Linked DNA regions of Lepisosteus oculatus. The protein of the gene in region 1 purifies or fractionates together with the protein of each later gene. This does not show direct contact. Links are inferred from orthologs where the notes say so. Each region holds a gene or a part of one and is shown in the gene's direction. Other genes may lie near its edges. The genes, in order: zinc transporter ZIP11 and membrane protein FAM174.

The links.
Region 2: the proteins of zinc transporter ZIP11 (region 1) and membrane protein FAM174 purify together in Homo sapiens (co-immunoprecipitation; 3 studies listed by BioGRID and IntAct, counting the BioPlex papers as one, with this or other methods). This does not show direct contact. The link is inferred for Lepisosteus oculatus from reciprocal best matches to the Homo sapiens genes SLC39A11 and FAM174A.

Annotation. Positions count from the first base shown.
Region 1 is NC_090704.1:40,024,197-40,040,891, forward strand, and holds the start of zinc transporter ZIP11, read left to right. Parts: upstream 1-8,515; 5' UTR 8,516-8,595; intron 8,596-11,187; 5' UTR 11,188-11,196; coding exon 11,197-11,304; intron 11,305-13,697; coding exon 13,698-13,736; intron 13,737-16,695. Other genes in the region: somatostatin receptor type 2-like, read right to left, coding at 831-1,874. UniProt on the Homo sapiens protein: Zinc importer that regulates cytosolic zinc concentrations either via zinc influx from the extracellular compartment or efflux from intracellular organelles such as Golgi apparatus. May transport copper ions as well.
Region 2 is NC_090698.1:55,259,860-55,276,150, forward strand, and holds the start of membrane protein FAM174, read left to right. Parts: upstream 1-8,872; 5' UTR 8,873-9,200; coding exon 9,201-9,565; intron 9,566-12,872; coding exon 12,873-13,004; intron 13,005-13,467; coding exon 13,468-13,480; 3' UTR 13,481-16,291.

The DNA of each region.
Region 1 (16,695 bases):
GTCCTGCTCTCCCATTGCATGTGCACAGGCAACCTGAATGTTGCTAGAGAAGGTGATTTCAGGAATGTATGCAATATGTGCCTGAAAAAGCATGTCATTTGCTTAAGAAGTGACCATGTAAGTGTATGGATGGATGTATGGCAAACAAGGCAGGATTAAAGAAAACATCTTCTAGAACCAGAGAATATGCAGAGACCATATCTTGACTTTTCTTTGTCTTATTTATCCCGAGAGTGCTACAGTATTGTGAACATCTTTCTTATTGTATCCATTTCATATGCTGCCATCACTCATATTCCCTTGTTGCTCAGTTGCTGGCTTCTGAAAGACAGATGGGGAGCAGGAAAGCTGGCATGCCAAGTAATTTGCAGTGTTGGTGAAGTAATGACGCCCTTAACGAGGCATTTCTGTAAATGTTCTTTTTTGTGTTAATACTGAAACTTGTTTTGCTTATTTTTTTCTTTCTGTGTTTCAGATACATAAATTGATGTGAATTAATAATACAAATGCAGCTAATGTGACACTTTGCAGTATGAGACTAAATACAGCATAATAATACTAAAACATAAAAATAAAATTTAATGTCTGTTGATTACAGCATATCATTATTCACATGGATTGTTAGTTACAAAGCCCTTTCAAATGAAGTCTGGGAAAAGGAGTTTCAAAATGTAAAACAAATAGTTTTAGCATTAATACAGACGTACAAAAAGGCCAAACTTTGGAAGTGAGTCAAAGGGGAATACTAAAAAGATTATAGGAAATATAATCCAAACCAAAGCTGGTGTCTGTGCATTCTCAAAAGAGCTCAATGTTGCAGGAGCAATTATCTACACCATACTGATCATCTCCATTCCACTCAAGTCATGCAAGTCATAGCCATCGGCATTGGTGTCAAAATGGAGACTTTGGGATCTTTTCTTGGGACACAGAAGTGTGTGAAAGTGTTTCCTGAATTTTTCAGAGAGACAGGCATACAGTATGGGGTTAGCACAGCTCCAGGAGTAAGACAGAAGCACAACAAATTCAAAACCCTTTGCAAAGGCTGGTGTTAAATCTTCTGGATGCCGGAGGAAATAGAAATTGAAAACATAGAAAGGCAACCAGCATATAGCAAAGACCAACACCACAGCAACAACCATCTTGGTTAGTTTTTTTTCTAGGCGCTGGGTCTCCCTATTCTGAAATCTACTGATGCCAGACTTTAAATTGACCAGCATTGAAGCATAACATGCTGTCATGACAATAAAAGGTAAAGCAAAGCCAAGAGTAAATGTGTAGATAATGAAGGTTAACCACCACATGTCAAACGACCCCGGGGGATTTAAAGAACACGTACTGCCTATCACTGTGAAATGGACCGCCATGGGTAGAACAGGCAACAGGGAGAAAAACCACAGAAAGACACTGATCATCTTGGCTCTCCTTGGGGTACACCATTTGGAGAACCTGATGGGATTGACCACTGCCATGTAGCGGTCAATACTCATGAAGGTCAAGCAGAATACACTGGTAAACTGGTTGATCCCATCGAGAATCATAACTAGCTTGCATGCCAAGTCGCCAAACACCCAGCGTTGATGGAAATTCTGCAGTGCTATAAAGGGCATCCCCACCATAAACAAGCCATCTGCCAAAGCCAGATTGAAGATGTAAACTGTGGTGGCTGATTCCATCTTGTCCAATTTCAATATGGTAATGATCACCAGGGAGTTCCCAGCAAGTCCCACGACGCAAACGCCCAGGTAGAGGACAGCCATCAGTGCGTCAAACAGGCAGGTCTGAGGGCCGCTGTCACCGTGGAGGGGATCGCTCGAAGAGTCGAAATGAAACGGGCTATTCTGATCAGTCACTGATGTGTACAAGGATTCCATTTTGATTTTAATCCAGGCTTTTTATTTTTAAAATAAATGTGGTGAAAATGTGTGTCACAAAATGAAAACAGAAGCAGGAGTGGTCCTGTGCTTCTTATAGTACCTTATGTCACTGGTATTCCATGGTTTGGAATCACAATGTTCAAACAAAAAATATAAAAAGCACTTCATAACAACCTGTTAGGTCACTCTCCTATCCAAAACACTATAGCTGCTTCCAAGTCAAGTGCACATATACCAGCAAAAATGCAATGTTTACATTAATAGAAATAGGTTTAAAAAAGAGAAAAGTACTCCATTGATGAACAACTTTGTTTCTCCAACAGGATTTTTCCTTGTAATCTGAGAGGTCTTTATTCTCCAGAAAATGTAAGGTCAAAAATCCCCCCAAAAAGGAGTCTTTTACAGTCCTGATATAATTGATCTTTCACTTATCATTTTAATTTGACAGAAATTCAAAACATCCAGTCTTCTTCTCAGTCCCTTGTCAGTGCTACTGGCTGCAATGATTCCACAGCTCCCAGCTCACGCTGCTTCAAAAGTGCAGATGGTTCTGGCTATTCCAAAACTTTTGTTTCTGTAATCAAACATTCTCGTCGAAGTGGTTTTCCAGCTTTTTTTTCTACGCATAGTCCTGCTGTGAGTAAAAAGCAAAGCTGTGCAGCAGAGGAGCAGCTGCAGAGTACTCTATTGCCGTCCTTTGACAAACATAGCTCTTCAAAGGATGGTCCTTTACCTCTGGCTTTGAATTTATTCAAAAGTAATCTGTAAATAATGGCATAACTGCTCAGTTCTGTGAATTTCTAAAGCAAAAACAGACCAATACAAAGAAGCCCTCAGCCCCTATTGCCTCGGTCGGGCATCATTGACGTAAGTATACAGACGAAACACACTGGTACACTGTAAACATTACAACATACCTTTGTTATCATAAAATTAAACTGTCTGAACTAAAAAGATGACCAATTAAAGTCCCTATATAAAAAATACGGAAAAATTTATAGGACTTTTAAATAGTCCAACATTCCTACAGAAATAGTCATTCTTCCCTGTGGAACACACTTTTATGACTCCCTGTAAATTCCACGATGTGCTTTGTGTGGTCTTGCATGCAGCTCTGGCTTTCAAAAGACACCCTTATGTTTGTTATTCTAGATCTGTCAGGGGTCTTGTATAAATAAAGTATCCTGCAAGGCATGAACTGTTTTAGTGTCCCAGAGTGCCAGCCCTGCTTTGGCAGGAAATGATTACTCTGACACCTCAACACTAAACCATCCAGCCCTCTTTAAGGCTTTTTGCAGCTGTAGTCCTGACACTACTTTTACTGGGCATACATATTGCTGATGGATTTCTTGAAGTTACCACCCTTTTCCCCTGTGAATTATTTTTAAAATTCAGGATTTCTAGATTTTCTTCTAAAGCAATGACCTTCCCTTGCTGGTGGTGTTGTAAGAGGTGTTACAAGGAGGTAGGCTGAATGAGCTGTTGGTCATGGCAAACAGCAAATGTCCCACTATTAGACTTTCACTATATTGCAGCTGTAATGTAATGCAAAAGACCAGGTTTTATGGTCAGCATGAAGCACACACCCCTTTGAGACAGACATCTTGTGAGCCCATGTTTGTGTTTTTCAAAGAAGAGGAACATTAAAATCCAGTTTTCAATCCTCCTAACCAAAATAAGGGTTTTTATGGAGATGATGTACCGTGAAAGGTGCTAGATGAAATAAAGGTTGTAACTGTGATTATAGTAACAGAATAAGGAGATTGTGAAGGAGCCGCCAAGCTGTTCCCACCCATCCATTCAACTTGTTTCACATGCCACAACTTCCACAGTGTCCGAAAGAAACCAGCTAACCCTGAGCTCACAGAACTCCACTGGAGTGAATGCTTTTACTTTTTTAGCAACACTGGACTCTTATTTTTAACTCATTCGGCATTCCACTGTAGTGAGTAGAAATAAATTCTGAATATGACATTTTAAAATTCCAGACTTTTCCAGCCATTGATTTGCCAGTCCTAAGGAGCTTAACATACATTTACAGACAACACAGCATTATCATGTTCTACTGATGTTTTAAAATAACTTTCCTTTTAAAAGGTGTTGTATCCAGATCTACTGTAGGTGTAAATTGAAGAAGAAGCATGATTCACATTATACCTCTGAAAGGTACAGACTGGTTGCCTTCTTGCAGACTCAAGAGATTTACTAATGAACAAATCACAGTTGTGTGATTATACAAAGTCTTTCTCCAGCTGTTCTGTGCAACAGAAGAGATACACTTCAAAGAGTCTTATCAGTGTTAGTGGCAGGTTAATAATATTCCATACGTATATCCTTATGGATAAATTAATTTTGAAAATGCTATACAAGTCAGTATTCTTCCCTAGTGACTGTTGGTTACTGGCTTATGTTAATATAGAAGTTAGCAATTATTAAAAGATAATTCTTTACAGAGTTTAAGCAGGGCTTAATGGTTGTACAAACTGAGCACCATAAACACATTAGCTTCAGAAACCATGGTTCTAGAATACATAATGTGGAAACTAGTGAGGCTTAATGAGGTAAAGTCGTCTCACAGCTCTGTACATTACAAGATTTGTGGCTTGAAATATTTCTTGTTTCAGTGTGGTGAAAGCACCAGGTTTCTAAAACAGTAACTTAATCATACTAGCTGGTTGATGGCAGTTTTTGTGTTTATTCAGGCTTGAAACCTCATGATCAATAGACAGGGCTGTAGATGTCAGCACAGAAATCCATACAGATTCACATGAAACCAAGTGCAAAATGAGAAAATCACTTTTGCATTTTATGTCAAGTAAACCTATTGCAGTCTATATTCTGATTTATTACAAAAATAATTTAATTATTATGGACCATGCATTTTTGGTAAATTTTCTGAAAAGCTGTGAAAAAAGCTACATACATTATTACAAACAGAAGAGCTGAATTTACAATTCACAAGATCTTATCAGCAACAGCTATGAACAAGTGTATTTGATCAAAATATTATAGGAATGACATAATTCTGTGTTGTATATTCCAGGCTGAATGAATTCAAGGTGTATCTTAGTTCCAGCCTTAATTTGTGTTAAACTGCTGCTTGCCAAACCCGGCTTTGGAGAGGATTGGGAATATCTGCTGGAGAGTAAAAGATGGGTTGAAATTGAAGGGAGCCTGTACAATCAGGACAACATTGACGTTTCAGTGACACAAAGTGTCCAATTTACTGCTTCACCCATACTGCATGTCAGGCAGGCATTCCAACAAGATCTGCTGATAGATGGCTCTAGTGGTCCACTTATTGTCTGCAGGGGATGAACCGGTCAGTTCCTCCATTGATGAAAGCTGTCTCTATTGCTGTGTATCATGGTTGAAGGATAGTGAAGACAAAAGCTAATTTCTCAGAAGTGGCTCTTGTTACAGTGCAAATGTCTTGTACAGCCTGCTACCTTGCCACATGTATCTTGGAAACCAATGTTAGATATCATCCGTTTTGTATTATACAATACCAAAGATACATTATGCACAAATCAACCCAATTGGTTAGTACACCCATGAGTCATATGTTCTCTATGTCCTTGACAAATAATACATTATTTAATTAGTATGCTAAAGGTTTCGAGAACATGATACTGATAAAACATTACAGGGAGTATCTTTGTGAAATCAGCCTGATGTCTTTTAGGCAAAGTCATGGGTCTTCATGAGGTGGCTTAACAGATGTTGTTAGTGAAAAATGCATTAACCAAGCGACCATGAGTCTGGATGACTCAGAGGCATGGCAGGGGATGTCAGAATAAAGAACACCTTGTCAATACCTAGTAAGTGATGCAGTTACAAGAAAAAAGACATGTTGGCCTGTGTGAAGCAAGTCATGATACGTTCTCAATCAATGGGGAGTACAGCTAGGTTCTCTTCTTCCTCAATCAAACATTGATCCAGCCATGTTCTGTCATTCACAACTAAATGTGGCTGTTTTTATCTACCAATACAATCTACAAGGACCTTCCAAATTTAGATAACGTTCTAATTCTTTCCACTTTTATCACAGGGCTTGAGACATGGTAGTAACACCTTTTAACTCCATTACTTATTGGATCAAGTCCTTTCAAATGCCAACAGTGTGAATTTACACAGTGGATTATGACATTTTCTTGAAAATAAAACTTTTTGTCCTTGTAAACCCAGAGAGTCTCTAGGTCCTACTAGGTCCTGGTCCTTCTCTCACATGGTTACAACCTGTGATCAAATCCGTGATCACAGAGCTTAACCTCTTTTCGGATGGTCACATTTACTGTTTGAACTTCTAAGGAGGTCTGACTGCCTACTTTGTTAAGGGAGCGATGCATTTCTGCCTTCACTGGCTGCCCTCCAGGCTCGATGCCCTCATTAAATCTCTGTCCGAGAGAAAGAAAATTATTATTTTTTATACTCAAAAACATAGTTCTTTTCTTTATTTCCTTTCTTCACACATTCTGAAATCCTAAATTATCCACTCCTTATCACAGCTATGCCTTTTTAGATCTTCTTAACATGCTGTGCTCACAGTACACAGTGACGCTTCAGTTTCACAGATACACTGTATGCCTTTGGAAAACAAGGACACTAATATATAAAATTAGGACAAAACACCAACTGCAGCAGAGACAAAACATGACTAAAAACTGCACCGAAGAGCCCCAGTCAAGGTGAAACTAGTCTGTACAAAATAAATGTGACTGCTTATTTGTTAATGGGACGACTGAACAATATAATAGAATCAGTTTACTTTTTTAACTTTGGGACTAAGCAATTAAATGAAATTTTCTGGACAGCATGTTGGCACATTGGTTTGCATTGCTGCCTTGCAGCCCTTGAGCCCAGGCATACTATCTGTCTGTGTGGAATCTTTATGTTCTAGTCATGCTCGCACGCTCTGGTTTCCTCCCACAGTCCAAAGACATACCTGTACTAGTAGATGAGTTGGCTTCTGGGAAATTTAGCCTTGCTGTAAGAGTGTTTGTGTGTGTCTGTCCTGTGATGGACTGGTGCACCGGCCAGAATGTATTCCGCTTTCAGCTCATTGCTTGCTGGGATAGACTTTGGCTCTCTTGCAACCCTGAATTAAAAGGAGCAGTTACTACAAACGGATGGATGAGTGTTTACATATATACATACCTTCCTCTATAGTTTTTGAATTTTGAATATGGAAACTAATAGCCTGTATTAACCATTTGGTATAAGATAAATGTAGTTTATATTCTAGTCTCCTCTCTGTATGAAATAACAGTTTAAAATAAATGCTGATAAAAAGGATCACCTGTGCTCCAACAGAGGCGGACAAAACATTAACTTCTCCCTGCTGTTAAGAATCACAGTACACTACACAATTCTTTCTTAAAAGCAGTTGGACAGCAAGCCCTGGAAATGAACGACAGCTTTGCCAATGTAAACCCGTTTAGGGTTTTGACATTTATTAATTAATGTATTTTGTCCTTGGAGCAGATGACTAAAGCAAGCTCTCCTATTCGCCAGTAGTTTATCTGTCATCTTGATATTCCTGCTCCAGCTTTCCTTTTAAGAAGATAGTATTACCCATTAATAATCTTTCCTTAGCATAATAAAACTTACTTACAGTATGACGTGCTGTACCAACCAATACCACCGCCCCCGACATCCTGTTAATTTTAGTTTTAATCTGAATTTTATTCTAATGGTTTGAGAATTCGTTTTTCTTCTGAATCCTGGGAAACGAATTTCTTAATTAAGACCGTTTCCAGTTTAGTTCAGTTTCGTATATCTACAGTGTAACATTTAGCACAATCAAATGGAGAAAGTAATTCAGAACATCTTATAGGAAAGCTCACTAACTCTGGGAAATTCCGCAAAAATACGTTAAATGTATTGTATTAGCAAAGAGCACTCCACAGATTCGGTATCGTCAACTTTAGGGATCTTGATACGATTACCGGAAAACACTTTCCTAAAAAATGCATGCAGACAACATCTGAGAACAACAACAACAACAACAACAACAACAAAATAAACCCAACTCATGTCCTAAAATGTTTAATTGTCGAAAATAACCACCCAGCTTTATTCAGGTAAACAATTTTTTGTAAGTGTTTTGAAATGTTTACTTTTCGGTAATTTCTAGTTGGAAGTCATTCTTGGACCGTAAGCGTTAAGTCTACATTTCAGTAATTGTGTGTGCTTAGGACGATGACGTAAATCAGAACACACCTTTGTAATTGATGTCACAGGTAACTCTTAAACATGTCTTTAATTTAGAGGTCTCAACATACCATTCTTGATTAAAGGGAAAAGCAAAAGGTGGTTTTTAGATTGACGCATATATGGAAAGTTATCGCCTATAATTGTGTTTTGCAGAGAAACAAGCGTGGTTTTACTTTTTACATTCCACATAGTATGAAATTAAATACAGAATTTTGAAAATAGATCAAACCGTTAATGTCTCGCCGCTGTTAAGAACCATACTACACTACATACAGTTATTATTTTATCAGAGAATAGTTGGACACCAAGTCCTGGAAATTTCGGAATGAATGGCGGCTCTTACCACCAGTAGAATTAAAGGAAAAGCTTATTGCTGAGTCGCGCTACATTAGCAGCCAGTAGCAGTTCGAGATGGGCGGTATTTGGAGGGTTTCGGAGACACGTGTACAGAGAAACAGGAAGTGAGTGCAGTGGACTTTCAGTTGGTGAATGGTTCATTACAGTAAGTGCTTATTGTGTTTTTTTTCTGTTTAAATGTATTAAAGGTCACATTAAAGCGTTGACACATTGCACATTGTTTATGGCGTATGTTTTTCCTAAGCATTTTCAGTCTAACATTGCCCCCCTGGAGTGCGTTTAAATCCAGGTAACAACCTGCTTGCACATTTAAGTATTTTAAACTTAAACAATTAGTGGCGAAGTGTATGATTCGATAAGCATTCAGCTGTGTTGTGGGCTTTCTAAAAATGAGATAAGTTATTACAGATCACCTGAATGCAAAACAATACACCACCTGTTTGAAAAATGAACTGGTTTTCAGAATACGGGTTTGAGCAGAAGTTTGGATCTGTTTTCATGTATCCTCACATTTCATTCAGCTCCTTATGGTCTATCATCTGTAAAGAATTAAAAGTACGAGGAAAACGGGACGCTTGCGGCACTATCAAATATGTATTTGTTAAGCTGTTAAATATTAATCAGGGTCCCAGATAAAACCACACTTGTGCATTTTTAAGTGAATAACCTGTAAGGAGCACACTAATTGTACTAAATGTGGCTTAAAGTCTGTTTCACAGTTGCAGAGCAGAGAAACAGGATCTGTGGGCTTTCAGACAGGACAAAGGGAACTTGTACAGCAGGAAAGCTGCATCATTTAACACTTTTGTTTCATGTTGACATTGTGTTCCTTTTGTTCATTAGTGACTAGATCAACATCTTAGCCTTCCCTGCCCTGACTAGAAGTCAGACTTGTTCAGCACTATGTTTATTTTAGGTGAAGGATGTTAATACTGCTTATTAAGTATTCTTTTCCAGAGTAGACCTTGTATATTTCTGTTTGATATCTTCGATTATTTTATCTGATAAGTTGTTTGTGTCCAACATGATATCTGGTTTCTTTCCCTAAATTGGGTTCTTTTGCATTTTTTGTGTCTTACTAATAAACGTTTAAAGAATTATAAAAAAACAGTTTTCTTTATTAACAAATTAGGTTCTTGTGAAACAAGAGGAAATCTGCCAGAAACCAAACATGACCTGCAGCATTCACTTCATGAATTCCGATCTTAGAAGGGCAGAGTTTGTATCATTAGAGGAGAAAAGAATGAAGAAATTCAAACTGCCAAATACCGTCCAGATTTAAAGAACATGATTTTTTATAATGCAAGAATGTATAGTGATTCACAGTAGATGTAGATTTCATTTCTAAAGAAATCTGTTAGGACTGCCAGATGTTTTGTAATGAATTGTACACAGTTGGCTGCACTGTGCACAAATATTCTAATATAAAATGTATTATGATGTAAAGGGGTTGATTCAAGATGTCACACTGTATATACCAGTATTGATTTAAAAGTATTTCTGCTTAGATGAGGATTTGCACTTTGATGAAATTTTGCATCATTCAGTTAATCCAGAAGTGAATGACATGCGAGGACACAATAAATTAGAGCTGCAACCCTTCGTAAGCTTACAAGCAATTTTCATTGGCAGAGCGTGTGCGAGTCATTAGTAACCAATTGTTTAACTTAAATCAATTAGCATTCTGTGGGAACAACATCAGGCAAAATCACTGCGCCTTCAGTGAGGTAATTTTTTCAAAGTGCAGTGGAGTGCGAGGGCAAATATTTTATTCATAACCTGCAAATATAATATGAACTAGATGCATGCATCATGGTTGTTTGATCGTATTGTGCATTATTGTCTCTTCAGCTGTATTGTATGAAAGGTCCTCAGGACTGGATACCATCATGGGGAGGGAGAGGGGGTGTCAGTGTTGCAGAGTCCACAACATGTAGGCTGCACTGGGTGCTCTGCACAGTGGTCTTCAACACCTCTTCATAACTGGTCTTTAGAAATATTTTATAGTTCTTAGCAGCCTCCTTCAAAGAATCTCACTTAACACTTGTTGCTTGATTTGTTTCCAGATGAATCTTCCTGTGCAAATTTTGTTTTGCAAAGTGCATTTTTAAAAACACTTGTCTAAACAAACGCTCTATCCACAAAACTCCTCAATCATGTCTAGTGAAAGAAGGAGAGGTTTGCACCTCTATCTCCCCTCAGTTCACAGCATGTCATCCAAATATGAGGCCAAGAAAGACATTTCAGAACCCCAGTTCTCTGTTCTTCATGTACTTATGTGAGCAGAGGCTTATCCCTGAATTTGCAAGCAAGAAATGTGCTTGAGAATGTAAATTTCTTCAATTTCATTGGTTTAAGTAGGTCAACACAGGAGGGAGCCCAGTTCAAGGAATCCTTTGAGGACCCTTTAAATAGCCTGTTTTGTGTAAATAATTAGAGCAGGCATAGTCTACTCTCTTTCCTGAGAGACAGAAATCTTTAGCTTCTGTGAGTCATCGCCTATCATTTTGTACCTGGAACAAATGACAGTTGTCACCAATTAATGTTCATAATTGAAAGTCAGTGCTTCAGAAGCACTAGGGTTGCCCATGTTATGAGTTAGAAAGCGTGACACAATGGAGACGGAGATGGAGACGACAATTGGAGACGTCAACAGAGAATGTTTACAGGCAATCTGAACTACTCTTTAAGTGTTGTGACCCTGTTCCTAAGATTGTGTTTGTGTGTGTATCTCCAGGTGGAAAGTATGATCCCAGGTTACAGCCCAGTGTTCCAGGCCCTGTTGGGAACTCTCTTCACTTGGGGGCTCACAGCTGCAGGAGCTGCCCTGGTCTTCATTTTCTCCACAGGACAGGTGCCGTTTATTACATTCATCTTTATCGAGCGACCAGCTTCTGGGGAAACTGAAATACATTGGCAGCTTCTTATTTTGAAGCATTACTGCATGCCAACGCAAAGCCTCATGTGAGGGCTTGATTAAAGCAGTTTTACACACACTTGCAGTGAAAAGAAGAGGCTGGTTTTGTTGGAAAGATTCTTGCCAGTACTCCGAGCTGCCTGTTTATTCCCATTTGCTTTCTTTCAGGCCAGCTTGCTTGAGTGTTTTTGATGTAGGAGTTGTGCAGACTGCTTAATAGCATGCACAATACTGGATACTGGTGCTTTGCTTTAAGCTCCATGAAGGGCAAATGAATACAGTTCATGGTAAATTACTTTCATTACCCTTTCCATGTTGGGGTATACGCAGTAAATACCAGGCTTCTTTCATGGCTTTGTTTTTGTAGGTAGAAGACCTGTTGTACCTATTTGATCTTATAGAGCAGCTGTTTGCTTGCCTTCACGGACTCAAGATTTGCGTGTGTGCTCCTTTTTGTCATCTGCCTTGATTTGCCTTGACCGGTTTGCAGTTATGCCAAAGTGTGTTTACAGTATACAGAGTCCAGTAATACTAAACTGTGCCATTTTCTTGCAAAGCTTACCAAACACCTACTGTATAACAAGTTTGAAGTACCAGAAATGTATGTAAACATGCGGCTTAAGCAGCTGTACACAGAATTTGGATGAAAAAAACTCGATTACAAATTATAAAGAAAGAAGCTAATCTTTTTAATATTAGAATAGTATGAAGTATGAAGTATTTTCCTTTACCCTATAATCATTGCTATGGTAACTCTATGCATTGTAAGACAAACTTCATTGTTTTTTTTTACATTTGGAATATTTTGTTGTCTTCTATGAATTTGGCATTACTAATGTTTTGAACTATTTTCTTAAAATATATATGTTGTTCTTTATCCGTCTTTATAGGACTACTGTACAGTAGTGGTTCTATAGGTAACTGGATTAGGAGGGAGTGCTTACCCTGGTCCCCTGGCTTAATTCAGCTTCAGGCTTGCACAGTCTTGTCTCCCTAAATCTCCACCTTAAATAATAATAATAATTGCTTACACTTATATAGCGCTTTTCTGGACACTCCACTCAAAGCGCTTTACAGGTAATGGGGACTCCCCTCCACCACCACCAGTGTGCAGCCCCACCTGGATGATGCGACGGCAGCCATAGTGCGCCAGAATATCACCACACGTCAGGTATCAGTGGGGAGGAGAGCAGAGTAATGAAGCCAATTCATAGATGGGGATTATTAGGAGGCCATGATTGGTAAGGGCCAATGGGGAATTTGGCCAGGAAGCCGGGGTTACACCCCTACTCTTTTCGAGAAACGCCCCGGGATTTTTAATGACCACAAGGACCTCGGTTTTACGTCTCATCCGAAGGACAGTGCCTGTTTACAGTATAGTGTCCCCGTCACTATACTGGGGCATTAGGACCCACATGGACCACAGGGTGAGCACCCCCTGCTGGTCCCACTAACACCTCTTCCAGCAGCAACCTTAGTTTTCCCCAGGAGGTCTCCCATCCAGGTACTGACCAGGCTCACACCTGCTTAGCTTCAGTGGGTTGCCAGTTGTGAGTTGCAGGGTGATATGGCTGCTGGCATCAGTTGATCTGCTAAATCAGTTGATGTAGCAGTTCTGTGTGTCTCCACCTGAGCTGGTGCAGTGCTGCTGAGGCATAGTGACTGCTGTGTGTCACCCAGGTGGATGCTGCACTTCAGAGATGGATGAATTAATTCCCCTCCTATATGTGAAGGACTTTGGGATGCAGAGAGCTGCATAAATGACTTATCATTATTCCTTAGTTACCTTTTCATCTTTAGCCTTTTTAGTTTTAAAGCTGGACTAGAAAATCTTTTTGTGAGTTGTGCACCAATATTAACTATATTACATATAGTTAAAAGGAAGCCGTAATCTAAAATACTTTAAGAATGGGTGGTGTTCTGTTTTAATTGTATTTTTCATAAGTTCCAAAAAAACATTCTGCCACATCCATTCCACTGATACCGAGAATATGTATTTTGATAAAATGCATTTTTTACAAACCAGATTTAATAGCTCTGGACGGGAATCCAAATTGACAAATTCTCTGGCAAACTCTGAATGGGATTTCAGGGAATGTGTTGCACAGTGGGGATTCTGTCAATTATTGAAAAGTGTAAGAATCACATTTTTGGTTCAGGTGCTGATTGGGGGGAAAAAAAAACAACAACCGTTGGGTGCCTTTTTTATAAGTGAAAGAGGAAGGATGTTTCACTGTGGAGTCTTGAAAGATATGTTACAGCTTTTGAAACTTGAGGTTTCATTGAGGAAACAGATGGTTGATGTAATTTTTCTTTTTTTGCCCCCCCAGAAAAGAATCCTGGATGGGAGCCTGGGGTTTGCTGCGGGGGTAAGAGCGGCGTCCTTGAATATTTTATTCTCCTCTCTGGGTGAGATCCTTCGCAAGCTTCGAAATTGAAATCCATCTTTTTTTACTAGGAAGGAAAGGATTCCCTGTTTATGCAGTATATAAAGAAGCCTGTAGTGGGACTGAACCGGTATTTTGTTGTTGTGTATTGTTGTGTAAATGTATAAAACAAGATGCAGAGAGTTCATTTGGTTCAAAAGCTCACAGGCTATTGGTGCAATTTTCATTTGCGTTGGCAGTGTACATGCTATCTGATGTCTGCATTTGGTATGGACTGTTGATCTTGGATCGAATGCTGTGGTACTCCCTATAGGTGCACCTTTAAAATGTTTTTCTTTTGGCCAGATCCATAATTTTATTCTTGCCAGTGTGTCAGACACTTGCTGCACTAGTTTGCATTGTGAGGAATGTGTGATGAGTCCGGAGATCCCAGTCCTTTAAAAGTCTGTTTCGTACTCCTGCCCTTATTGTGTAATGGCTGGTGCTTTGCCGTTTGAGAATGTGGCCTTTTCACTTAAAAAGTTTAATACATTTGACTGAGGTACCCAGTGGCATTGGATGGTCTAACTAAAATTATTTTTATGGTCATGGGTATCTGAGAAGGCTTTGTACTGTATGTTTATTGGACAAAATACTGGGAGTTCACATTCAGGTTTAAAAAAATCTGGCTCCATCATACATCTCTGAACTCCTTCACTCCTTACACTCCCTCTCACAGGCTCCGTTCCGTTGAGTCTGGTCCTTTGCTCACTGTATCTAGGACTAAAATCTCAGACTTTTGGTGACCGTTCCCGTTCTGTTGCTGCTCCTTTGTTATGCAATGCCCTTCATCAGACTCTACAAGGCACAATATCTTTGACTCTCTTCAAATCCAAACTCAAAACTCATCTTTTTGCTAGGGTGTGTGTGTGATTGCCCTACAGTTTCCCTTCTATATCTGTATGTTCGTGTTTAATCTTGTTATTTTAAGCCACACTGCTAACTAACACTGTGAGGGCCTTTATATAAACCAAAACCTTAATAAATTGAAACATTCCTTTAATCACAATTAATCAAGAATGTGCATTCTAAGGCCTTAACCAACTAATTAACTAATATTCACCCAGTGTGTCTGGACTTGAATAGCACTAGAGAGACTTTCACCACCATCTGTGGTCAGAACAATCCCCAGATCTCAATCCATTTAAATTGAAGCAACATGTGGCTTACTTCCACATGCCATTAACTTATTCACAACAGCAGGGTGACTTTACTAAAAAAAAACAGGATAGATCACTGCACACACAGTATTTTTTTTTTATCTTCTTGGAACACATGACACACACTTTCTTTGTTTGGATCCTAATATAGTATATCAGCAGGTGAATGTTTAAAATGCTGTTGAAAAGTGTCTTCTAGCTCTTGGTAGTATTGCCATTTTTCACACCTTCTATGTGAAATTTGATACTGACTTTAGGTCTTGGGCGTGGGCCACTGAGGATACCTACTAAGATGGTCACAAACCTGTTATTTTATTTTTTATTGTTAAAAGTGTACTACATGGATTGTCAAAATGTCAAGTTTAATACGGCAGGAAGCATATTCATATTGGCTTTGAGACATGAGACTTTGAGGCATGACAACTGAAATTAACCAGAAAGTTTGGTATCTGATTGTGTAAGGTTCAAATGCAAGAAAGTGACTTTATTAGTTTGTAGGATAACTAAACGTCGGGAAGGATGAGCCTTTAAAAGAAACGGATGGTGATTTTAAAGTGTGATGTGGACAGAGATTCACAAATAAGCACAATCATATTCAAATGGTTTGAAAACCCAGTGCTGAGTATCTGCTTCTCTTAGTGACTCTTATGTTACCGATCTTTTGGGCATTGTCCATCTGACAGTTTGATACAAATTAATAAACCTCTGACACATTCCTAAAAGCCGAGGGAACATTAAACTTTAATAGTTTTATCCTATAAGCTAGTGAGTCAAACTTTGTAAAAAGGGATTAGGTGTAATGATCATTTACTTAGGAAATATTATTTTTTCATTGAGGGAATTCAATGTTCACAGTGACATTTATGTGTAAAGTCTGAAATTTTCAAGTGAAGATTTATGTGATGTATTGAGTTATAATATTTGGTACATTTAGGCCTTTATGAGACTTAAAAAGCTGTTAGGAATAAAATTACTGGCAGTGCAGTGGATAAAACCTTTTAGTCCTTGATATTGGTCTATTTAAATTGAATTCACTGAACTGTATGCAGCAGGCTAGCAGTCTTTATGTAGTGGTGGTTTCAGCATCCTGCATGCATAATGTACTTAGACTTAGTGGGAAGTAACCTTTATCTGACAAAACTACACTTTTCATCTTTATGGATACTTACCTGTTAATTAGACTTGTATGAATGTGTTTCCACTGCAGTGTTGGAGCCTTCAAATATGTTTTAGTTCCTGAAATTGCAATAACCTTAAATCTTAAATATGTAATGAATTGGCTATATATATATAAACCACCTCTCTCTGGGACCCAGCTGAGTTAAACACCCGATTTATCCTAGAGATTTATCCTAAATAAATGCTTATTTTATATTTAATAAGTAATGAATTAGAATTATTGATAATATTATATCTAATACTGTTTACAGCCTTCATGTTTAGATTAAAATCACTCAACAAACAGATATAGAACCAGTTGCTGATTTATGTAAGTGGACATAAAATTAAGATGGAGTATTCTTTCATCACAATTATAGATGCACTGATTAGACACTGTACTGTTCTCAAACATTGCTTATTTTGACAACTAAGGCATCACACATAAGGCGCTGAAATCTCACAATCAAATGAATATGGAGTACCCTCCTTTCCCAGCACTTAAGTTTCCAGAATTAAGCTGCGGTAAGTTTCACTTGTTTGACAATCACATCCCACTTTACAGTAGCTGCTGCAGGCGAAGG
Region 2 (16,291 bases), on another chromosome or scaffold:
CTCTAATGTACATAACACACCACTCTTGTTTACATTTAATGCAATCAGCTAAGTCTTGCCCAGTCTTCTATTTAGTTTAAATATTTTTCAGTATCTTTTGCAGTTTCTGTAGCATTTGCATATCCTCCTAGTCTGGTGTTATCTTAAAATATGACTGCTTTTCTCCCTATACCAAAGTCTTTTTTGACATAAATTAGGAAAAGCAGAGGTGCTAATACGTGTCCGTCTGGTAAACTCTTAAATATACACCTCGTACACCTTGATTTACCACTTATCTGCACCCTTTGTTTCCTGTCAAATAACCAATTCCTAATCCAAGTACAGTACACGCATTCCCTCGAATATCTGCAGCCTTGGGAATTAATTTTTCATGAGGAACTTCATCAAAAGCCTTTTAGAAATCTAAATGTACCGTGTCATTTCTCTCTTGCATTACAGCTGTTTCTTGAGAACTCTGACAGGTTATTGTTTCCATATCCTTGCATGTAATATAAGAAAAGATTTATTGGTCTATAATTACTTGGTTCACTCTTTGTAAGGTCAGGCGCTATATTAGCAATTTTCCAGTCAGTGGGTATTACTCCTGTCTTGAGAGACTGTTGGAAGACTTATGATAATGGCATATGAATACCATCTCATGTTTCCTTAAGTACAACAGGAATAATACCATCAGGCCCTGGAGATTTATCTCAAGTGCTTCTAGTATCTGTAATTTGTCTGCCACTTCTATGCTAATATTATTTAATATAGGACCTTGTGTTTAGTTAGACTGGTAAGTTCTGTGTTCCCTCTTTGAAAAACACCTATACACGTAATCTGAAAGTTTCTTATTTTTTCTCTGAGATGCTTTATTTAATTTTTTTACTGTTCCTTTACTGTTATAATACTAAAAATTATTATTTGATGTAGATGTCCTAGCTTTTTTCTATTTTCTTCTTCTTGGTCTCTAATGCCCCTCTTAGCCTGTAGTTGCAATTAATTATACTCCTTACATTTAACCGGATCCCATTCTTCATTAAATGCTGTCGTTTACTGTATAAAGTATACTGCTTTTTTCCCTTATATTTTTCTTAATTTATTTATTTAACCATTTGAGCCAGTGCTTTCCTGACTTTGATGTCCATGTGGGATGAATCTTGTTTTGTATTTCAAGAAAAATGTTTTTTAAGACTTTGAAATCCATTTTTTGCTGATTCCAAAACTATTTGGAAAACTGTTTGGAGATTGGGAGGAGAGGCGGGAAAAGTCAAGAAAGCCCAAAAGCTAGACCTGGTATTGAAGTGAACTTCTTTGAATGGTTTCAGACTCACAGTGTTTATTAACATAGCCCCACAATTTTCTCTGTACTGATTCTGTATGAATAATATTGTTCAGACATTGGGAAACTATACCCTGTACACCTGTACAGGCTGATACCACACTGGACCAGCCTCCAGGCTGAAAATTCCAGCTACAATCCCAGCCTCCATGCTGAAGATAAACTGTGCTGCTACCACATCAGCTACCCTAACACAATGCAGGCTGTTTATTTTTTCAAATACAGCTACTTAGCTGCAGATCTCAGCCACATGGCTGATTCCCAAGCCTGCAGGACGAAGACCAGCTGTGATGCCACTGCTCTAGCCTCTCTATCATAGTACAAGCTGTTGATACAAAAATAGATCTACCAAGCTGAAGGCTCTATTTTTGTATCAGCTGCCTCATAAGCCTCTGGACTGAAATGACTATGCAGGCTGCTGGCTCAGCGACAGATCCACATGGCTTAAGACTACAGTCTCTTGGCTACCTACAGGCATCAGACTGAAGACATGTGCCTATGATGCTGGCTAAGCCAGGACAGGACATTGACTACTCCTGTTGCTGTGTCAAATACAAGCCAGATTGCACACTGTTCTAGCAATAAAGAACAGTTTGACTTAAGGACTGGTGTGTGGGGTGCGTCTTTGTAGAACTTTTGCCCCATGTGGGAGCTTCCCCATGTGGCATCACAATATATTGTAAAATTTAAAAACAAATGGTAAAAACAATTACAGTTTTTGCTGCAAGTAAAAGAAAGATAAGTAAATCACAGTTTATATATTTGAATATATTATTATCCTATAATTTCGGATGTAGCACTTTCATGAAACCTCCCAGGTGCAACTACCAAATCTGGGTACTTTAATTCATTTCAATTTGCTCCTGCCAATGACTGGAACAATCTGCAGAATTAAACATAAAATATCTTCTGTCATGTCTAAGGGTATTCTGTGCTTAGATCCTGTTATGGTGTTTACTTTTTATTGATTGTTCTTTTCTTTCTACTCTGCTTTGCCTTTTGTGCAACAATGTTGTAAGACTCAGTCTGGTTCCCATTGTAAATGAAAAATTGTTCTCAAGTGACTTGGCTGTTTAAATAAAAGACTATTATTATCAAGCCAGATTTGCAGGCTGCAGGAAATTTTGCAGAACTAAAAAGGACAGATCCCTCTTTATAAGTTCTTTTTGGCAGAGCAGCAAGGAGCTGTAAGCCAGTGTCTGTAAAGACCTAAACAGTATAGTAGATAAAGTAGAAAACTATTTATTGTACAGTGGGTGCTAAAGAGATGATACTATGACTAGGGTGTACCGCACCAGTCAGGGATATGGGATGTGCAAAAACCTTACCAAAGATAGTGTTATACAGTCCCTGGATGTGACTGATCACTGCAAAACTGTCAATTGACAACTGAAATATGACTTTCTGGCAGGTCTCCATTACAACACTATCTGTCATAGACATTCAGTTCCAGTGAGTTACTATGGATATACAGTACAGTAGCAGAACCTGTAGAGTGAAGCAGCGGAGGCAAACACTTTATTATTGTTTTCAGTGACTGTGTAACCAGATTTCCAGAAGCCTTTACTTTGCACAGTGTCAAAGCCTAATGCATGCTCTTGGTTTATTTATCTCAAGGGCAAACATACAAATAGAAATGATCACAGACCACATGTACAAGTTACATTTAGTTCGCTGAAACATGTTTAGCATATTTTGGGTATTTACCATATGTACTTTTCACCATGCCATAACATCCATTATGGCTGATGGGCTGGGGGAGCATTTCAATCAGACGCCAAGAACATGTGTGGATATTTTATTATCGGCAGAGACTTTCAGTTGCCATATCTGTGTTTCAAAGTGTCTCAAACCTCTACAGGATTCACTCGTGTTGAGTTACATTATCCCACCAGGGTGGGAAAGCCAAGAGAAGCCTTTTGACGTCTTCTTCCAATTTGCTTCTTATATTTTTTTTCATATCTTTAGATGTAAGCAAGGGTGACTTGTCCATAATTCACTGATTCTGTTTTCTCTACTTTTTTATGACTGGATAAAATAATTACAATTTTCTAATCAGGACACACAATTAACTGCAATAGAAGTCAATTGATTTATCTTACCAAGAGGGCTATACTGTAAATAAGGTGTGTTATTCCTTCAGGTCAATAAAAACCATCTGGTTTTATTTGTTTGTTTGAACCTTTCTTCAACCTGCAGCACTTTATTAATTTACTCCTTTTTGAACACCTGAGTAAATGAATCATTGAAATCCTTTACGTTTTCTATGCTTGTCTTTTATATTAAAACCATTTGTATCTCTATGACACCACTTCTTTCCTTTTCAGTCTTTTGCTGTTGTAATAATGTAAAAAGCTCTTGGACTTAGTTTTGCCTCAAAATCTGTAATCTTGTGTAGTAGTCCACTTTTCTGCATCTTGGTCCCTATAAAACATTTTTCTTGTTTTACAGTATATTTTTCTTTCGTAATCTATTGAACCATTTACACCAACAGTTCTGGGCCATGATTTGTCATATCACCCTACAACTCACAATGGGCTACCTACTGAACTTAAGCAGGTGTGAGCCTGGTCAGCACCTGGAGGGGAGACCTCCTGGGAAAAACTAAGGTTGCTGCTGGAAGAGATGTTAGTGAGGCCAGCAGGGGGTGCTGTGGTCTATGTTGGTCCCTAATGCCCCAGTAGAGTGATGTGATTAATTATATTAATTTTATCGATGGCTCTACAACTGAATTTTAAACCTTTAGCTGTGTATACCTTTCTGATTCCCTATACAGTATATTCTCAAATCCCTCTGTTTCTCTAGTATCATAAACCTTTCCTTAAATTGCCTTTGTTGAACGTTGAAACATACTTTGAAAATGATCATGTTGTGTTTATTCCAATGCTTCTCTTACTTTTACCTTTTTTACTCTATTTTGGTTATTTGAAAAGATCAGATCAATGCAGGCTCTAATCATTCACCATAGCAACATAATTTGTGCCCCAGTTGATTTATCCCTCACTAACCTATGGTATGCTAAAGTCTGTCTTATGGTTGACATAAAGAAATACATCTACAGTATGTGTTCCTAGCACCCCACTCTCACAAAGCAACAGGTATATCATGTTTAAAGCCTATCCTCCCTTAGTACACTTTTGTGAATGACAACATGTAACGGTATATTCATGCATCTCATTAAAGTCTAAGTACTGCAGAGTCCTTATCAGTTTCATTCTCATGGGTTGTACAGATGTGACAAGTTAAGAATATTATAAAACACATGTAGAATTTTCTAAATATGGAATTGTAATTTGTAAATATATTGTAACGCTTACGGCCGACAGGTACTGTGTAAGAGCCGGCTTACCAGAGCAGGTGACGTCACCGCCCTTCCCAGTAACAGCAGGACCACAGCCCCTGGGCTGTAGAGAGATCTCTCTTTGGCTCACTGGGCTGGTTCCCTGTTGAGTGACGCGGGAGTCCAGGGTTTGCTAATGCGGCAAGGGTGCCCGCCTGAACTCCCGTTGCGTTACAATATGTAATTTCACAGGCAAAAACATACTGTACAATGATTATATCACAAAAAATCTTTCTTTGTGATAATGTGATAATAGTTTGAGGAAGCCAACTAAAATGTATTTTGCCTCGCACATAAGTATCCAAAAAACATAACTAAAGCGTCTTCTTTGTTGGCAAATAGAATCTCTTTAGGCTTCATCTCCATCTAAACAAACGTGTTCTACTTTTGTGAAAATGGTGAGCCATGTCTTCATGTCTTCAGTAAATTCATAATATTTAAGTATGTAATAGATCTGCAATATTTATTTAAAGGCATTTGCTTGATGGTGAACCAGAATTATAACCATAGAAAGCATTTTAAATGCAGGATGCCCTTGTACTACTGCCACATGTGTGTTAGGTTGATAGTAACTTCAACAGGTGATAATCCCACAGTATATTTACAGTATATCTGATATGATGTCAAATGCATGGTGTCCTCTAAAGTCTCTCACTTGCTGGAATGTGCAGTTTGTATAAACAGATAAAACCATTCCATTAAAATTGGAATAGAGAAATATTATATGTACTTTTAATTTATATTAATCCAATTGGTAATGTTAATAGTATCAGATATCAATATTATTTGTGCCCCATCCTGTTTACTGTATATGAAGTAAACTTCATTTTCAAGAATAAAAAATCCAACAAATATTTTCAAGAATAAAAAATCCAGCAGAAACCAATCCAATTAAATATTCTACAGAACTCAGTACTGACAGTTTATATCTTTAGGATATTTTAGGCAAATTAACGCTGTTCCAAAAGGCAAGACGCCTTGGTTGCATAGAAACCTACTGTACTACTATAGTGCTACTGTAGCAATTGTTATTACTTTATTGCCTGAATTTTTAATGAAAAAAACTGTTTTCCACATAAACTGGGATATAGTGTTCAGATGCACGAGACTTGGCTAGTAAGACTTGGCTGCTACTAGTTAGGTTCGCAGGATCATTGTTTTAGATCCAACCACCACAGTTAAATGTATGACTATATTTCTTAACCAGGTTAATTCATAATTATAAATATCACTGTGATGCTGATCTATAATAAAACCAGCAGGCAGCAGTACTATACACAGAGCCACTGTACCTCCCAGTTGAAAACTTGAACACATAAATTTGCCATGAGGTAAATATGTCAGGTTCATCCGTTCAGTTTTACAGAGGGTTATATTTGCCTAACAGGGGGATTGGGGATACTGCATTTTCTGTAGCACTGCTGTCTCACAGCCGTGGGAACAAGAGATCACTTTCTGGCTAAGCGGCTCTATCTGTGTAAGGTCTGCCTGTTGTCCTCATGTCTGCATTGGTTTCCTGCCACATGCCAGAAGCATTCTGATTAGGGTAATTGGCCACACTAATTGGACAGCGTGATGTCATGTGTCGGACAGGGCAAAATTAACATAATCAAATCCCTTAGTAGGGAGGCATGATGGTTTGCAATGCTGCCTTGCAGTGTTAGAGCCCTGACAATATAGTTAAAAAATAGTACTTTGTTTTATAAAGAAAATAATTCATTGAAAAATAAACGATTCACTTACTTTTGGTGAGGATAAAAAAATAACCCCTAGATCAGGAAAGCTGGACTACACTAAAAAATATCTCAAAATATCCTGTTAACATAGTAGAAAACAAATAATTTACTTGTATCAAAAACACATTTGTTTTTCTCAAAGTTAGAAAAGTAATGCCTTGTTATTTTTCTTCCTCGAAGCAATTCCAGACTTGCCTTCTTGACAATATAAAAATGTAAACAACCTCAGAGTACCAAGTCTTTCTCTTATTTGTATATGTTTACGTCTCCTTCCCTAAATTAGAAAAATAAACTACAGGAGCTTGTTAAGCCTGTTTTATCTTCCTGCTTCTCCTTTCTCTTTCAGTTTCTCCCATGGAGTGATAAGTCTCTTACTTAACTCTTTACATTTTCCTTTGCCCTTCTTTTTATTGTGTTTCCTGTGCTTCACTATAGTTTAGATAATACAAAGTCCTTTCTTCCAACACACTCTCTTTATGTCATTTTCCAAATTGCATACTCACTGAAATCCATCAAATGTAAATTGTGTACAGTGGTGCATAATGAACCACTCTCTCGCTGTCATCCCTGTCATCATCATAGTCCTGTAATGTGTGCACACCTGTATAAATAGCTTGTTCCCCTTCTGATACCCTTGTGGCATTCTTTGTCACAACATGTCTGTTCTGGCATCTCAATGTGGTCAAAAGTCTCAGTGAAATCTATGACACTCTACCCAAAGTACCTCCCATTCAATACAGTGCCCCTAGTGGTATCACTGGTGCTGTCTGTGTGGAGTTTGTTTGTTCTTCTATTGTTCATGTGTTTCCTCCAGGTGCTCCAGTTTCTTCCCACAGTCCAAAGAGATACTGGTAGGTTAACTGGCTTCTGGGAAAATTAACCCTGATGTGAGTACAGTATGTGCGTGTTTGTTTCCTGCGTTTGTACCCTATGATGGATTTGTATCTCATTCAGGGTCTATCCCGCCTCGCACTCATTGCGTGGCTCTGGCTTCCATCGTGACGTGACCCTGTACTAGATAACGCGGCTTAGAAAACGGATGGATAGAAATCCCTTAGTATGATAAAGAGTACTAATTTCACCCCGTGGCAAAATAAAAATATGCTTATGCAATATGGAAATACAGGGACAGAAAGCAGCCTTATTGTTGTCCGCTCAATTACAGTTGCACCTCATACAGTACATACACACATACACAACATAGTTGTACCTGAACCTGAATATTTAGTCTTTTGACTTTTCTCTGTATCGTGGTGGCATCAAATACAACCATAAATGACAGTTCTTTTCCTTTCACAAAATTCAAAATGCCGTTGTGCAAAATGTGTGGCAGGACAATTTTGTGGTCATACTGTACATAGCTCTTGACTTTCCCCTGGATGTCAGAGGAGGCTATACAATATTTGACCAACCCGGCTCCTGCGGCCTGGATGAAATTAAGCAACAGGCCACATAGGTTTCCCACCACAGCATAAAGGAACAGACAGACAAGATGCTCTGTTTTATATGTTGGATCCTAGGTTTTAAACTTTAGATAGTGGACAAGTGAGGTTTTGATAGTATACAGATGAGAGCACAAGACTTTATTTAATACAAAAGATGCATTGTTTTTTTTTTGCTTCCTAAAAAAAGTAAAGAAGTGAATCTTTGTGTATAACTACAAATGCTTATCCTATAAACAATTTTTTTCAGGTATCCATTTTAACTGCCTTCAAAAAGGCACCAGACGTGGGGACCTTTAGCAGACCTTTCCAGGCAGAACTATGTGAGACAACCAGAATCAGTGAAGCAAACAATGAGAAAGAAGAAAGAAAAACATAGTTAAACAGATGGACAAGAAGTCTTAGCCTCAACAGTTGTATTGATTTTTTTTCAGTATCATTTAATTAGAAAGAGAAGCATTATTTCGCTAAATTGCTCTGGGTCAATGTAATACATTAGAAACTCATTTCATGAGGCACTGTGATGTTGTTTTTTATATTCTGGCATATTTCCATCTGCCTCTAGATTATTGTTATTCGTTGTTTAATTCCTTGATTGATTGGGAAAATTACACATTTAGATAATAGCAGGCTCCTGTTTTTCCTGACCTTCACCAGGAGATTCTGATGACGGGTAGGCAGATAAAACTTTTCTTAACTTTACACATATATTCACGTATTGCATTCTGTTTTTTAAACTTGATTTTGTGTTCTTTCTTTGGCTGTTTTACTATTAATCACGCTAACTGCCTACTACTGGAAAATAAGGTGGCACATACAGATGCCACATGCAGTACACATCTCACATCTTTAACATTTCTTGTTGTTGAAGCATTGTAGACTAAATTATGTGCAGTACTTTTAGAATATCTATTTAAAGATATTTTAATAATAAAGAATGTTTACAGTACTTCAATTGTCATTGTCAAAGACTAATCATTTTAGGTCAAAGACCAAAAAAAAAACATTTGCAGGATATTTTTCTTTCGTTTGTACAGTATGCTTGGGTCTTGTGACTTTGTGAGAGCTCTACCTAATTGCATTACTAAACAGACGTTGCTGCTTAATTTAAAAAGACTCATTGCAATGCTTCTGTGACCAAACACGTTTTACAGGTACATCCGGGTGTCTTCTCCTCAGTTTCTGAAGCCCATCAATAGCAGCTCCCGCAGGCACGCAGGGAAGATGATGTCACACTGCGTAGCGACGGTAGGAAGTCAACGCATAAACAATATGAGGGAAATAAGAGGGAGTTGATTCTGCTCTGTGTGTTATAACAATACGTCAGTGCTGACAGAAAAAAAAAAAGAAAATTATTTTAGGACATGGGTCCTGAAAAGACACGGGTCTTTAGGGCTAGTTTGTTTGTATGCATCTTACTGCCTGTACTTTTGCCTCCTGTTGCCACAGTTGGCCCGTACAAAGCTCCGTCTACAAAGATCCAGGTGGGCATCAGCCAAAACACCGGCAATGCCAGCAGCGGTAATACCAAAATGAATACGCACACAGGCTCCGTTGGAGTCAGGGAAGGCAAAAACAACAGTACGGGCGACTTCCAGAGCACCAGCCGGACTGTGGCAGCGGAGCTGGCCGCGAATGACAGCAGACCGATGTCCATTCAGAGGGCACTGTATGTGCTTGTGGCTGTCAGCGCTCTTGTCATCGTTTATTTCGTCATCAGGACTGTCAAGTAAGGACTGCATCATAGTTTTCCGATTGCCTAAGCTACTTTTCTGTTTTCTTAGATGCTTTTGTAATGCGACATCCTCTTTAAAAGCGGCGACAGAGTTGCGATGAGGTTTTTGCTTTTGTTTTGTTTTCACAAATCCTTCGCAGTTTTATATCGCTGTTGTCTTTTGCAACATCGTAACATTTTGGATTTAATTATTTTTGTTTGGTACTGGTTCAGAACACTCATCTGAACATGGGTTGGTTGAACCAGTTACGGGCATTTTGTGGACACGGTTTTTTTCTTCTTCTTCATTAAATTAGGGGCTTTGAGAGTAAAATTTAAAACCGAACGATCTGAAACATATATTTTTCAGTAATGAGGCTGGTGCCGATTTATACCTTATTATACTAAACTTACAAACAAAACTGCAGTTTGAACTTTAAAGAACTGCCTAAAGAGGAAAAAATATCTGTAACCTGTGTTGTGTGACTCCTGTCCTCTTAGAAACTATTGCCTTGATCTGGATTGAATTAATGGAAAGGTTTCAGGCGAGAAAAAGACTAATCAGTGTTGATTCATTTATCTGAAATAAATTGAAATTGATCTGCTTGCCCACAAAAATAAGCATTTTTATTTATATTTATCTGCTTTAAGCTATGTATTATTCCTCTGTTGTATTTAGGACTGTGTCCTAACCACAGTAACAGTATTCATAAAACAGCGTTCAACTGCAAGACAGACTTGTGAAACACAGAAATGCAAATACATTCAATACCCTTTATAATGCTGTATTAATCAACATGTAACAATACATCTCCCATACATTTTGAAATGTATTGACTACCCCTATGTGCTAAGGAATTTCACATTATAAGTTCTGGCCATCTTTTAGTATCCAGTTAAAGTAATGCTACAGTACAAGTACAAATAAAAGATATCTTGTATATACTGTACATACTGTACTGTATGCAAAATTAGGTGCATCTTCTATTGTCTGTAACATTATGTATGATTAAGTCAAGTGTGGTTTCAAAGTGGTAGACTAAACTACAATGCCATTTAAATCAAGTTGAAATCACATATTTATTTTTCCACATGGTCACTTTTAATACATTTTTACTGCTTTTTAATTCACTAAATAGGGAAGACAAAAGAAGTTCTAAGATGACTTTCCAAAAAGTGAAAATGATATACAGTGCCAAGAAAAGCTTTATGAACTCTCTAGGTTGGTCCATATTTTTGTATATTTTACAACTGCAAAGTAATTAAATCCTCATGTCCTCTTGGAAGTCTCAATAAATTATAAAGCAAACTTCGTTAAACATGGAATGCAAAGATATATTTGTATTATTTAATTAAAATAACCCATTGTGGGAATACATTAGGTTAATTAAGATTAGATTCATGTCAATAAATTAGATTCAGTTTCTGGCAGCACCTCCTGAGCAGCGATGACTTCAGTTAGACATTTTCTGTAAATGTTTATCAGTCTCTTACTGCTTCAAGTCCCTGATATTTCAGGGTTTCCTTGCGTGAACAGCTCGCTTCAGGTCATGGTACAACGTTTAAATGGCCAATTCGAATGCAAAATTTCTTCTTTAGCCATTCTGTTGGAGACCTGCTTGTATGTTTAGGATTGTTGTCTTGTTGTATGACCTCTTTTCAGATCAGCTTCAGGTGATGAATGGATGGCCGGGCATTCTCCCCCAGAATTTGCCAATACAGTGCTGAATTAATGGTTTCATCAAAGATGAGGGACATCAATTGTGTTGCAAGGAAGCATTTGGTTTTCACAACACAAAACATTTCTAATTGTAGTAAAAAAATTCAATTTTTGATATGACGGTCCAGACAACATTCTTATAGCAGTATTGTGGATCAACCAGGTGCACTTCAGCAAACTTGACATGGCTGACATGTTATTGTAGAGAGCAATGCTTTTTTCCCCATGACATCCATATCCTTCCAGTTTTATTTCTGATGGTTTAGGCAGACAGACACTTACAGATCCTTAGATGTTTCTCTGGGGTTCTTTGTGAATTCCTCGATGATTTACAGGATTGTTGTTGGCAGGACAACCTGCCAGGTCCTGGGATAGAGTCACTGTGGTTTCAGATATTTTCCATTTCCCGAATGGATTAATGGAGCCCCAGAAGTTTAGAAATGTTTTAATGAATTCTCTCCAGATTGATGAGCATTAACCGCTCTTTTCCTGAAGTCCTCTGAAATTTATTTTTGATTGTGTCGTGATGCGTTTCCTTTATCCTGTATGGTGTAAACCACACTCTCAAAGTTTCTGATTATTTTTAGACATTTTAAGACAGGAGTGCCCAAACTCGCTTCTTTTATTTATTCATACCAATGCTATTTACTTGTGCTCAGTAAACTAGGGTTCACTTATTATTTCACATACACTGATTAAGTTTTCATTTTTTTCTGCTTCATGTATTTTTGCATCTAAAAAAATATCGGATTGGTAAAATCTTTTTAGGTTATTTAAAATCCATTTCAATGGTAAAATGGTAAGAAATTGTAATTCTCCATTGGTTTTACACAAACCAATTCATGGCACAATATTACAATTCATTCAATTGATTGTAGGACATCAGTTTGCACAATAAAAAATGAACTCCCAAAACACAGACACCTCTACTTAGGAAGCAAATAGGAAAGTCTTTAAATTTAATTTTCATTACGTGAAAACTGTCCCAACTGATTAATGTACTCTGGAGTGGGCACTTTGCCCACAGTTTGCCCAAAGGAAAAATTAAACCTATTTTGATATTAATGACTAGAACTTGAGGCTTTATTTTTTCTGTTATTCTTTTCTTTTTGTTTTATCCCTAAGCCTTTTTTATTTTGTCAGAAAAATGTATTAGTGTTAGAAGAATGAAAAATGTTAGTACTATAATTTCTACAGATGTACACTTTAACAGGGTTTTGATACCTCCGTATTGTACTTGAAATTCATATTGAAATTTGCTACTGGTTACTTTTATGAACATGCTAAAGTAGATTTCTCGGCTGAGGTCTTATACAGTATGTGCTCTTCAAATACTGCTACTGTGGCAGGTTAAGATAATTTTGCTCTCTTGCCTTGCAGTCAGAAGACTTTTTTTTAAAGGATTAGTAGCACATTTTGGAATTCTGTCAAGCAATACGTTCTGTAAGCGTGTTCCACTGCTAGGATGTGGCATGTAAGTGTGGAGCACTGTGAACATATTGTAAAAATGAAGCCATGAGGTTATCATAGTTAACATCAAAACCACCATGTGTTTGAAGTTTGCGTGTATTTTGTACTGAAGATCTTTTCTTCTTAATTCAGAATGAAAAAGAACCGTAAAACAAGGAGGTATGGAGTCTTGGACACAAATCTTGCCATGGAAATGACACCATTGGAGCAGGACGAGGATGAAGACGATGATACCACATTGTTTGATGCTCGTATTTCAAGGAGGTAAGCATGATTAGGATCGGTCTGTGTCTTACTGATTACACCTTGTAAGGTCATTGAAATACCTTTCTAACAGCCTTTGTATGATATAGTCTCATAATTTTGAAAAATGTATTTCTAAAAAAAGAAATATAACTTTTAATAAAGCATCCTGTATTCATGGAAGTTTTTTTTGTTAAGCTGTTTAGTGCTTCTTGTAACTCAAGACTGATTTTTGTGATGCTGCTAACTCAGTATAATTGTGTACCTTTTTATAAGTAATGGCTGATTTATAACATATTAAGAAGAGCGAAGTCTGGAGTATTGGCTATGATTCCTACCAAGTTAGAATAATGCTTTGAGTAAAGAGTCTACTGTGACTCATTATGATTTTACTAAATATGATATGCCCCTATGGTTATATTTCAGAGCACACTTGCTAAGCACTGTACATTAAGAGAAACAACTGTGCTTTCTTTTGTTCTAGAGCTGTAAAATGATACTTGGTATGTAAATCAGGGCTGTCCAAACCTGCTCCTGGAGGGCTGGCGTTTCCATGATTTTTATTTCAAATCAGCTTTTAATGAGCTAAACCAGATGGTTTCTGGCTTAACTGAACTCATTTAACAGCATCTCCAAGCTATTCAGATCCTGCAACTTTCGAGTGACCTTGAAAATCTGCAGACACTTTGGCCCCCCCAAGACAAGAACTGGACACCTCTGGTGTAAATACTTCATCTTCCAGTTATGAAAGAGGCTCTTGTCAGTCACACATTGAATGCAGTGCCTATAAGTGGGTTTTTTTTGTTTGTTTTCATAAAAACTCTCACAATGCGCTTCTAAGACTGTGACAGTGTGTGTCTGTGGAAATTGATTTCTGTTTATTTAGTTGATGTTTACAGAAAGGGAAGTCTGGCTGTAGGTATGTCCTAGCAAGTAGCAAGAGTATGATTTTCCTACCCTAAATCCTGTAAGTACTAAAAGGGACTGACCCAGTCCAATGGCAGTAGCCAAGTGTATGTGATAGGTAGGAATATACAGTATAGTATACTGGCCAGTTCTATAGCTGTATCTGTCCCTGGCCAGACTACACACTGAAGTGATCTTTCATACAATACACACATGATATTATTTTGATCATTTTTTGTTAAACTGCTTTAATTTCTACAGGGACATTATTTAAAAATGTAAGAATTATTATAAAACCAAATGGCACCAAGGGGAGTATCAAACCTCTAATAATGTCAATCAAAATTTGATTCATATATCTTAATTTGATTTTTGATTTTTGATATATGATTGATTCATATACAGTATACATATTGATTCATCGAAATATAAGCTACTGAGCCTCCCTTCCAGGGGAGAGTGATGTTCCCTGTTTGTCTGGTGTCCCTGGTTGGATAGGCTCTGGCTTTGTAGGAACCCTAACTAAAATGATTTAAATGAATGCATTTTGCTTTGCGCTGTTATGAAAATGAGGCCCTAAATATGCATACAATGTTATACAGAAATACCCAAACTTAGCAATGTTACTGATTTCAGCAATGTAGGATCATATGTAATATAACTTATATAACTTAAACATAATTTTTTTTTTAAATTTAAATGACACTACTCACCACCTGTGACTCTTAAATACATTCGTATATCTTCATGACCAGGGCTCCCCTTTCTTCCTTTTTTGAGGTTTTATTTGTGCAACAGGTGACCAGATTATTCTTAATTGTTACATCTACTGTACTTTATCCATATGGGATTACATCTTTTTAGTGCCTTTTAACTAATAGTAGAACCTTGTTCTTGTTCCCTTTTTTTATGTAGTAAATGTTTTAGTCTGAGATGTCTTTACACTGTCCAATTGTTAGCCTTTAAAACCAAGGTGCGGGCAACATGAGTTTCAGAATGTCAAATGTATTGTATTGTAAAAATACAATTTGATAAAAATTGAACAAGCTGTGACCTCATTACAAGAAATACACCCTATATAACACCTGCAATGTAATTGTCAGTAGCTCAGGATGAACAGGATGCATCCTAGCCTTTGTCACAATTGTATGGGTCATGAAATTTGTGGAAACCCAGGAAAAATCAAATGTGTTTTTCAGACCTGAAGGTCAGAATATTTTCACAGATTCAAGTTCTGGCCATGTAAAGTCAGGGAACCTTAAATGTAGGCAGGCATACTACGTAATGGTCAAACAGTAAGGTTCTTGCAGACTATTAATTCACACTTCTCAAAAAGAGGTTTCTATCTGTAAATCTGTTATTTCCCAGTCACAGAATATTTCGACTTTGAATAAGGTCAGTCTATCAAGCTTCATTGGTTTTCAGTTTATTGCTGCTGTTAACAGTCACCTGTTAACAATGCATGTCATTGGTTGATTAGTAAAACTGAAATGTGACAGTGAAGTTGAACGTTTTTAATTTATATCAGTACTACCTGTATATTGTATGCTATTATATTTAAAACTTAAACCTACAAAAAATGCTGGCTAAATAACCTTTGACGTTGCAGCAAATAGATCAAATTGATCAGATAAGATCACAAATTGTGTGTTGATTGAAAAAATAGGGCATTTTTTTGCAGTGGCAAGGGAACATTACAACTGAGCTGCTGTTTGAACTTCAAACATTGATCCGGTTTAAAAAGGTGGAATAAAGAAATAAAGCACAAATACAGTATGATCAAGTTTCTGAGTGACAAAGAACTGGTGATGATAACCAAACTCTTCTGGTGCTTGAAACTTCATTGTTCTTTTCAGTTCTACAAATTGCCAGAGTCTATGGGCAACTGTCAGTTCCATGATATGATAATTCATTTTATTTTAGTAAAGCATATTTCCATTTTTAAAAACATTAATTGTCATACTGTACAGATGTGTTTCCAGTCTTTATTAACTTTCACTGATTTTACATTTAGATATAAATCTATATGTGTGCTTTGCTCTATGTTATGCATATACTGTATATTCTAGAAAAAATAAAGTAAAGCCTGCAGATTTTGGGTAATGTATTATAAAGTCAATTTAAATTTGATTTTGCATGACTGATTTAAATGAAATTGACCTGGACTAAAACACTTCATTAGTGATTGAGCTGAACAGGCAAAGGTGATTTAACTTGAGCTTTTGAGCCTGGTGAAAAAAACGGTGCCTTTGTACATTAGGTATGTAAGAACAACATCTCAGGTAGACTAAACAGCAGTGAAGCCAAGTCCTCTTTAGCAGTGCACAAAGCATGTACTACAGATGTACAGCTTGCATTGCTTTCAAGGGTAAACACTACTAGTATGTGACTTTCACTGTTTC